Nothobranchius furzeri: one gene and its partner. The protein of the gene in region 1 interacts with the protein of each later gene in a pairwise test. Links are inferred from orthologs where the notes say so. Each region holds a gene or a part of one and is shown on either strand. Other genes may lie near its edges.

What was found.
Region 2: the proteins of ruvbl2 (region 1) and dpcd interact in binary tests that used the Homo sapiens proteins (3 or more experiments, as listed by UniProt). The two-hybrid records come from large-scale screens. The link is inferred for Nothobranchius furzeri from reciprocal best matches to the Homo sapiens genes RUVBL2 and DPCD.

What each region holds. Positions count from the first base shown.
Region 1 is NC_091750.1:65,677,799-65,682,485, forward strand, and holds the start of ruvbl2 (ruvB-like 2), read left to right. Parts: upstream 1-1,470; 5' UTR 1,471-1,542; intron 1,543-2,252; coding exon 2,253-2,307; intron 2,308-2,427; coding exon 2,428-2,483; intron 2,484-2,812; coding exon 2,813-2,954; intron 2,955-3,059; coding exon 3,060-3,189; intron 3,190-3,274; coding exon 3,275-3,341; intron 3,342-3,474; coding exon 3,475-3,581; intron 3,582-3,671; coding exon 3,672-3,765; intron 3,766-3,843; coding exon 3,844-4,062; intron 4,063-4,152; coding exon 4,153-4,271; intron 4,272-4,687. UniProt on the Homo sapiens protein: Possesses single-stranded DNA-stimulated ATPase and ATP-dependent DNA helicase (5' to 3') activity; hexamerization is thought to be critical for ATP hydrolysis and adjacent subunits in the ring-like structure contribute to the ATPase activity.
Region 2 is NC_091746.1:23,415,037-23,419,803, forward strand, and holds dpcd (protein DPCD), read right to left. Parts: upstream 3,338-4,767; 5' UTR 3,266-3,337; coding exon 3,202-3,265; intron 2,245-3,201; coding exon 2,164-2,244; intron 2,057-2,163; coding exon 1,935-2,056; intron 1,841-1,934; coding exon 1,707-1,840; intron 1,561-1,706; coding exon 1,458-1,560; intron 1,144-1,457; coding exon 1,039-1,143; 3' UTR 825-1,038; downstream 1-824. Other genes in the region: poll (DNA polymerase lambda), read left to right, coding at 3,908-4,022, 4,184-4,481. UniProt on the Homo sapiens protein: May play a role in the formation or function of ciliated cells.

The DNA of each region.
Region 1 (4,687 bases):
ATTCAGTATCATATCACAAACTATCGCAATATTTCAATGTATCGATATTTTCTTCTGTCCCTAGCACAAACAAATCCAAATAATAAACATTACTCTTTTTGTTTAGACTGCAGTGATCACATGGGTGGGACTCATTTAAGTATTTCTGATTTCAAGCTTTCAAGTAAACATATACCCAGTTAGCCAATCATGTCAGTTATGTAATTTAAAGTGTGTGGAATCCCGAAAGCTGCACTTTTAGGGGGGAATTCTAATGACAGGAAGGAGATGAAAACCTGCTCCAGAAAGATTTGAGCACACTTTGCTTTACACCCTTTTTTTTTGCATTTCTAAAGGTATAAAAACACGAAATCTAACTTGTCAGAAGAAAACTTAAGGATGGAGTGCCAGCCAACTTATCTTATCAGATATTTTGATTGATATTCCTTTGCATTGATCACTGCAAGTTCACATGAACAAAAATTCCACAGCTTTAAATTATGAGCTTTGCTACCTCTGGTGGAGAAAAGCTTTTAGAGCTTTATTATGGCGTTTTCCATCAGACAATGTTGGCCTTCCTATGCCATGTGGATGTGTTTCTTTTTAATATAGAACAAAAATATATCTGATTAACCCTTCAAAACTTGAAATAAAAAACTTATTACATTTAAACTTACATAATAGTCACAAGATAATTTGAATGGTACGTGTGTATTTGAGAAATAACGTCCCTCACGTATTTGTTCCAAATGCCTTGGTTTAAAATGACTTATTTTCAAAATTATAGTATTTTAATGTGTTTTGTGCTTGATGCATTCTTATTCTCATTGCTTATTTGTTTAGATTATTTTAAGAGAAAGCTCAGTAGATTGCAATTGTTGTCATGTCATCAATTCACAACAGGACAATTCCATTTGAAAGTATATAAAAAAGAAAGTCACAAGAAAATGTCCCTTTATTTTTATTTTTTGCTTTCATTCTTGTTAAATGCACCAGCACACAAATGTCTTCTACCTGGATTACCTCTTTATAATTTTTTATAGTGTTTTAGATTTTAAAGGACCCCTCACTGGTAAGAAGACTTTTTACTCAAAGCAACTTGGAAATTTGTAACTAAAAATATTTTTGCTATTTCAAATGTGAATAGAATATGTTTTAATAGTTGTGCTCATCCTTTTTTAGCAATGGCTTATTATTTTGTATTTGAAATTTAAGAAAAAAGCGATTCTTTTGTTTCTACTGGTTTCCAATGAGAACATTTAAATGACGAAAACACGAAATGCACGGACCCAGTTCTACAAACATTCATTGAACGAGTTAACATTTATAAAATTTTGAATTAGCATTTTATGTACCTTTATAAGAATCGTGTAATGAAACGTATTTACCTCGTTAGTTTTGTCTTCTTGGTCAAAAACAATTCAGTAACAACCGATGGTAACAACGCTCCCCCATGTGCCCCTGTGAAAAAAAAACTACTTGTTTCTAGTCGGACGCATTTGCTCGGTGCACTTTCAGAAAGGAGCGCCTCGTTCTCACGTTTCGGTGAGTGTAGTGGTGCAGGTGAGTGAACACGCTTATTATAAAATAATATAAAATTCAAACATATTACAGTTTATGCTGCCCGATTGCTGTTGTCTGTGTAATTTGAAGAAAGTCTTATGATGTTGGAGTGTTTGACGTCCCCATTCTGCTTGTTTTGAATGTTAGCTTTAAATAAAGCGATGAATGAAGCTAGCTGTTTGCTAACACAACATTAGCCACGGAATGCTATTCTATTCCTGTTTTAACGCTGGCAATGTAGCCGCACATGTTTCGGTATGTTACATAACTAATGTGGTGGCAGTTAAAAGTTTTCTTGCTTTCACGTATGACATTAATATTTGGAAAGTGATCGAAACTTTGTATTACGCTAGCTAATGTATTGTAGCGCATGGGTTATAACTGTCACTATGACAACCAGCTGGACAGAACAGACCTCTCAGACGTTTTCTGATCTAGCAAACAACATAAATATCGTTTTATTGTGGTACATTATTTACTAAAAGGTGTGTCTCATTGCCAAATCAAGTTTTGGATCTGATCTTTACCGTTTTAGTATGATCAGGTTTACACATTAACTATTGTTTTTAATAATTTGACTTATTTTGAGTCATAATGTGAGATACAGACAAATAACTGGTCAGTAGAAGTTGCATTGCTTAATTATTCAGAAACGTAAAACAATCTACTTAATATTACAAGTTTTTCTTGTTGTGTTTCACCTGATGCAGATGGCGGCTACAAAGGTTCCAGAGGTTCGTGATATCACACGGATTGAAAGAATTGGTAGGTGTGGACGTCTTGAACCGTTAACTAATCAAAAAGCTAATTTATCATAAGGGTGTATGATGCTGCTAGTTGTGTGTGCTCTTTATTTTTCCTTCAAATCCACCTTTTTGCGTTCAGGGGCCCATTCTCACATTCGGGGCCTTGGCCTGGATGATGCTTTGGAGCCAAGACAGGTACTCTTGTCTCTGATTCATTTGCTGTGGACTTCCTGTTCATGCTCTCTAAAGAAACTCTGTTAAGTCTTTTAAAAGAAAAAAGCTGTTTGTAAAATGTGTTGTTTGGTTACTACTAATGCATATACTTTGCTAGAACTGGTTAAACTGAAAATACAGTAGATAGCCTGTGTAACCTCAACATCACATCACTTCAGACATTTTCTCTTATATTATCTACCAACACTTTAGAATATTGAGCAGTGTTGTTCTTTTAGGTTTAGTTAATTTTCCAGCATTAATGTGTGTGAGGTTTTGTCTGAAGGAGACTTGATCCTCTTCACCTGCAGGTTTCTCAGGGGATGGTTGGACAGCTGGCTTCCCGTCGGGCAGCAGGGGTCATCTTGGAGATGATCAAAGACGGCCACATTGCTGGCAGGGCGGTCCTGATCGCTGGCCAACCTGGCACGGGAAAGACTGCCATTGCAATGGGTGAGAGCCGAGTTGGAAGCTGTCCATGGATGTAAATGTTTCAAGTTGCATTTTGTTTTGAATCAAGAGTTCCTGCATCCTGTTCCTGATGAGCTTGTCTTATAGGCATCGCACAGTCTCTCGGCTCAGACACGCCCTTCACAGCTCTGGCTGGTAGCGAGATCTTCTCCCTGGAAATGAGCAAGACCGAGGCACTGAGCCAAGCTTTTAGAAAAGCCATTGGAGTGAGGATCAAGTGAGACAGCGGTCACAGATACAGCATTATTTAATTATTTTTGTATGAAATGATTTGCCTTTGACTGTTTTTTCCGTATTTACAGAGAGGAGACGGAGATTATTGAAGGAGAGGTTGTGGAAATCCAGATTGATAGACCGGCCACCGGAACGGTGGGATACTTTCTCTAATGTTAGCTAGTAGTCTCAGAATTTATTGTCTCCCACTTTCTGTTAGCTTAAATACATTGATGTTATTCTCTTTGAAGAGTCCTGTTTAATAAAAATTATATTTTCTTTCCGTCAGGGTGCAAAAGTAGGCAAGCTGACTCTAAAGACGACAGAGATGGAGACTATCTATGACCTGGGCAACAAGATGATTGACAGTCTCAGTAAGGAGAAGGTTCAAGCTGGGTAGGTTCTGTTCGCACAACAAGACTCTCTAGTCTCGTTTTTCTCTGCTGGAGCGACGTTAGAACAAATCTATTTACTCTGTTTTTACAGAGATGTTATTACAATTGATAAAGCCACTGGGAAAATCAGCAAGTTGGGTCGCTCCTTCACCAGAGCCCGAGACTACGACGCCATGGGCGCTCAGGTGTGATGCCACTGTATTCAGATTGAGGATGCAGGTTGACTGATTGCTGGATTATTTTCTTTGTTTTGTCTTTTGTAGACCCAGTTTGTCCAATGTCCGGAGGGAGAGCTGCAGAAGAGAAAGGAGGTGGTACATACGGTGTCCCTCCATGAGATCGATGTCATCAACAGCCGCACCCAGGGCTTCCTGGCTCTCTTCTCCGGAGACACCGGAGAGATCAAGTCCGAGGTCCGGGAGCAGATAAATGCCAAAGTGTGCGAGTGGAGGGAAGAAGGCAAGGCAGAGATTATTCCCGGAGTAAGTTTTAGTGTGTGCAGATTTTTGAAGTTTGGGGTTTCTACCTGCTTAAACTACATAACAAATCATTTTGTTTGTTGTTTTTTCCAGGTGTTGTTTATCGATGAGGTCCATATGCTGGACATGGAGTGCTTTTCCTTCCTGAACCGGGCCTTGGAGAGTGACCTTTCTCCTGTTCTCATCATGGCAACCAACAGAGGCATCACCCGGTAGTGTTTATGCACATCCAGTGGAAAAAAAACTCACAGCTGAAGCTTTAATTGCTATGGAAGCCCATTCCCTCCACTCTGATAAAAAATTATCTCATAAATATGACATAGCTATCTCATTATTAAAATTAAATAATAAAATTATAATTTTTTTTTCTTCTAACTTCCCTATCTTATTATGAGATGGTAAAGTTGTAATTATGAGATAGGGGTTGCATGACTTTATTTTTTTTAAAGTCGACAGTCAAGTAATGAAAATCGAGTCGACTTCGACTAGTCGTTGATGACGTCATATACCTGAAGCGGCGGGGGGGGGGGTCGGTAGGTTCGCTGGAGTTTTTGACAATTAAAATTGCGCCCACATTTTCTAAGTTAAAGACATTTCTTTTAACAACGGTAGTTTCTGCTTCAGCCCC
Region 2 (4,767 bases), on another chromosome or scaffold:
GAAGAGCTGGGGCAGAGGGACCCGGGTCCGGTCGTCAAGCATGAGCCGCGGTCCAGACCCGAGTGCACGAACAGCTGCTTCTGCCTCTGATCCTGTCCACACGAAACAGCTGGAATCTCCTCGTCTTCCTAAAAACAACCAGCGTCTTTTAGTCACTTCACAGTTAAAAGCTGAATCCGTCAGGTCCCTCTCGAGAGTCTCCAGAGCAACAATGCAGGCTGGTTTAAATGTTCTCTCGTGTCCCGTCTGAAGAAGACGAGGAACAATGGTGAGCGGGGCCTGTGGTTTTGTCTCTGCTTTCCGCACTTGCTCTCTGGGTTTGGACAAGCGGGAAAAAAATGTTAGGAATCACAAGGCTGAAAGGGTCTATATTTAAAATGTCCACTCTGAACAGCTCCTCTTGGTGTTTTAAGCGTTTCCAACAGGACAGGGATTTTTTCTCCTAATTGGAGTTGGAAGTTGATTAACATTTTTTTTCCTATCAGGTTTAAATCAAACTAAAACACAGAAAGAATCATGAAACGTTCTTTAAATAATCTTTTACGAGTTAAGGTCAAGGCGAGTGAGGATTAACGATGAAAGCAGCTCCAGCGAAGCTTTCAGGGTGGCCAGCGGCGTGCACGGACATAAGGGTATTCATTTAACACGAATGAAGCGTCTTCCTAACCGTGACCTCGGAGCCAACAAGGATGGAGCTTTGTGTGTTCTGAGTGTTTTACGAGGGCAGGAGTGAAAGGAGAGTTGTAGGGTGTGTGACCCTCGTAACGCTGCCCCCACCAGAAAATACAGCACACCTCCATGGTTTCAGAAAGATAAAGGTCAGGTGACATTCAAAAGTTTTTATATTCAGAAAAACAAATTCAACAAACATGTTCATGTCCTTTACTTCCACAACTAAAATGATGAAAATCGTCACAATCAGAGGGCTAAAACCTGAAACAAGGCACTGACGGTTAAATAAACAAACTAACAACAGCTTCTGTGTGAGCTGACAGCGCAGCGGCCGTCCTTGGTTGTTGTTTTGCTCACAGTCAGAATTCACTGAGTTTTACAGTCGGCGTCTCCTTCAGCCGCCCCCTTCAGCTTCTTCAGCTCCCTCAGGACTTCCGTCTCCAAGCTCAGGACGTCTTTGGGCTTCGCGTACTGATCCAAAATAAGAGAAAAGCATCCATCCTCACGCCTGATTCTTCACAAAGATCAGCAGAGTAAACTAAAGAAAAGCTAACTAACTAAATGTGAGTGTTAAAAACTAAAAATAACATCACCCTAATTATTTATACAGATTATGGTTTGCAGGAGCTTCTCTTATCACTTGAAAACAAACATACTTTTCCTATAGTTTGGCAGCTGATGCTGTGTAGGAGCACGTCTGAAAGGAATCACTTTAAACTCCTGCGTGTCTATCAGAAAAGTCATGTAAAGATATGAATCCTTCGTTCCTGATTTCTCAGACTTACGCTGATAATTAAAGTGTTGTTGGCGTGCGTGAAGCTGAGCGCAGACCTCTCAAGGGGCAGCTGGCTTCGATCCAGATCAGGAATGGTGAACTTCTTATAATATCTGAGGAGACAAGAGGAGAATGTTACAAGTCAATCCTGCAGCTCTGAGAATCGTGTTGTAAACAGCGCCAGCTTTAGGAAAGATGGGAGGATCGCACACAAGTGTGCTCAGAATGATCCAACAGCCAGTAGTCGATATAAATGTACTTTTTATTTGAGGTCTTGATGATGACGCATCTCTCAGGAGGCTCCACTGAAACACTGAAGACATCTCTGGGGTAGGGAAGGTTACGGACTCTCCACTGAAAGCTGGTTTTTGTGTCTTTACGCATGAAAACGGGCTGAGGAAACAAGCCAGAAGAAAAAAATCCCTTTATTTGCACACCTATGATTCTATAGTTCTATTGCAACAACAAAGTTAACAAAAATACTTACATTGGAACAATTTTCTTTAATCACATCCGAGTCCAGAGATGCAGTTACGTTAAATGGCTCTCCGACTTCCACCTGCCAGAAGCTTTGAACTCCCAGTGTGCTTTTGTGGCGCCACTTTCTTACTATTGTGCAAAAAAGTTTTTTTTTTATCATCTTAAACTAATCCAGTGCATGAACTGATGTGTGAAACTGGCACTGTGCTGTGAGAAACTACAAATATGTTGTTTACCAATGAGCTCATCTGTCTTCACATCATATTCTTCAGCCATTTCTTTTCCATCTGCAAAGAGGTAATGGATCTTTCTCTTTCCTGGAGGTGAAATTCGAACACATTTTGGAAAATCGGATTAAATAGGATGTTTGAGAAATGGAAAACTTTGGTGAAATAATATGTAAAAACACCTATAAGATGTGAAAGGTTGAATTTGTCCCAAAAGATCTATTTCTTAATATAAAAAAAGATGATGTAAATGTAGTGCATCTACAGATGACTGACGGAGTATAATGCTCACCACCTTTTACTGCACTCTTGTGATCAGCTTAGATGCTTAAATGTACTTCCAATGATGCAATGAAATCATCACTAAAGAGGCTCAGAATTTTCATCTAAGGTTCAGTGTTTGTAGGTGCAGAAGTCTGCGTGTTTAAACCTTTGCAAACAAAATTCTACATACATCAATCAATCAATAAATCAATCAATACTTTATTAATCCCAGAGGGGAATTAGAGTTTCAGTACACACAATTCAGATTTATTTATTTGCATTCTCATCAAACCATTGAAGTGAACTTGGATTACTCAGAGAGCACATACTGTAAAGGTACTGTTACAACAGATCCAACTATGTGCTAACAACACCCCTAAATGTAATCCATAAAACACTTACTTTATTCTTATAATTATAACTGTTCGCTGTTTTTGTTTGTTATTGTATCAACCGACATGTTTGAAATAAATGTAAATAATTAGCTAATCCAATGTTCAGGTTATTCAGCTAAAATGTTATTATCAAAAACAAAACAACAAGCACACAGTGAAATGTTAATTACATTATAACCTTCAATTAAAAGAAACACGGTTTTTAAAACGCACATTATATTCATGCTAGTTTAGCTGTTTGATGGATTACGCCGTTAGCTCGTTGCCTAGCAACGCTGACTAGCTTTAAAGCTAGCTACCAGATAGAGACGTAGATAAACCAGCTTGTCTGGAACATATAAATCAAACAAATCCAAGTTCGGTTGAAAATGTTATTATTTTCATTTACCGTCGTGAATCAATGCCGTTTTATTTGCTGATTTTAGAACATCGATCCAGCTTTGCTTAGCCATGATTCCAAGACGCGTTTATATAGCAACTTCCGGGACAAGCACGTAACCACAACAACCAAAGTCAACACACACAAAAGAAAATTATATAAACATATTGTTTGGACTTTTAAACTATATAATAATATGAAAACCATTAAATGTGTGTGTAAGTTAAAAAAAACGGTGACAATAAAGTTTACCAAAAACTAGCCGGACCCATTTGAACCGGAAGTGAATCATTTAAATAGAATTTCTGAGTTCCTGGTCCGCCTGAGCAGGGGTAATTGCTGATGTTTTGGCATTTAAAGTGTTTAATTGTGTGAATATGTTCTGAGGTGTCGTGTGGAATGTGTGGTTGTATAAAACGGTGTAAATACTGATTAGTTGATTTGTCCTACGTTAGCTACCTTTAGTCGTATCTAGCTGACCATACATTTTAATGTTTCCCTTTAGATAACGCGTTTTATGTTAGTGTAGCAGGATGAGGTAACAAAATATTGTCTTTAAGCACCATACTGGCATGCAGTAATGTTTTATGATGTTTTAGAAGTGAATGTATGCTGTAATAAGATTTTGCTGCAGATGTTTAGGTTGTTCCCAGTTTAGTCCACTGTTTGTTTACTTCATGCCTCAGGCCATCGGCTCCTCTCTTCTACTAACAAGATGGAGCCTCGTCACGGGATCATGAAAGCTTTCCCTAAAGTTAAAAGAGCTAAAGTGCTACAGGGAAAGGATGCGCCCGTGCTGAAGAAGAAACTTGATGAGTGTAACGTCACAGGTGATCAATCTGATTTTATGTGCATTCAAGCAACAACTTATGAAACAACTTGTTCCTTTTAAAACGTATTAAGAGAGCCAATAAGAGAAAATGAATTCTGTTATTCCTCCAAATAAATAAAGTATTCTCTTTGCTTCTTCTATTCTTATTTTTCCCTCCAGGAAACTTTTTTAACGACGTCACAGTGTACCTTCTGCCGGCGGGAATTGGAAAAGCCAGATGCCAGATCTTCCAGAGACAAATCCAACAGAATGGAGGGCAGATCCAGAGTTTCCTGAGTCCCAGTGTGACTCATGTGGTTGTGGATGACAGCATGGACTGTCACAGAGCACTTCGCTTGCTGAAAGTGGATTGTGTGCCGTCTGGTGTCCATCTGGTGAAATGCAGTTGGTTGAGTCTGTGCATCAGTGAGAAAAACCTGCTGGATGTGGAAAACTACAGACTTCTTTTACCCACAAGGTTCCTATCAGTATTTATTTATTTAACAGTTCATTTTTTCTCTAGTTTTGTTATGTGTTTTTCTTCCACTGTTAGGTGTCCTTGGGTGTCCTCAAAAAGGCTTTTAAATAATACACATTATTAATATTATGATTATTATTAGTTATCTAGTCAGGATGAATGTCTGTCTTGCAGTGATTGGGGTTTGTGGCAGTTTTCTACACTCTCAATTAGGGTTGTCACGGTATGAAAATTTAACCTCACGGTTATTGTGACCAAAATTATCACGGTTTTCGGTATTATCGCG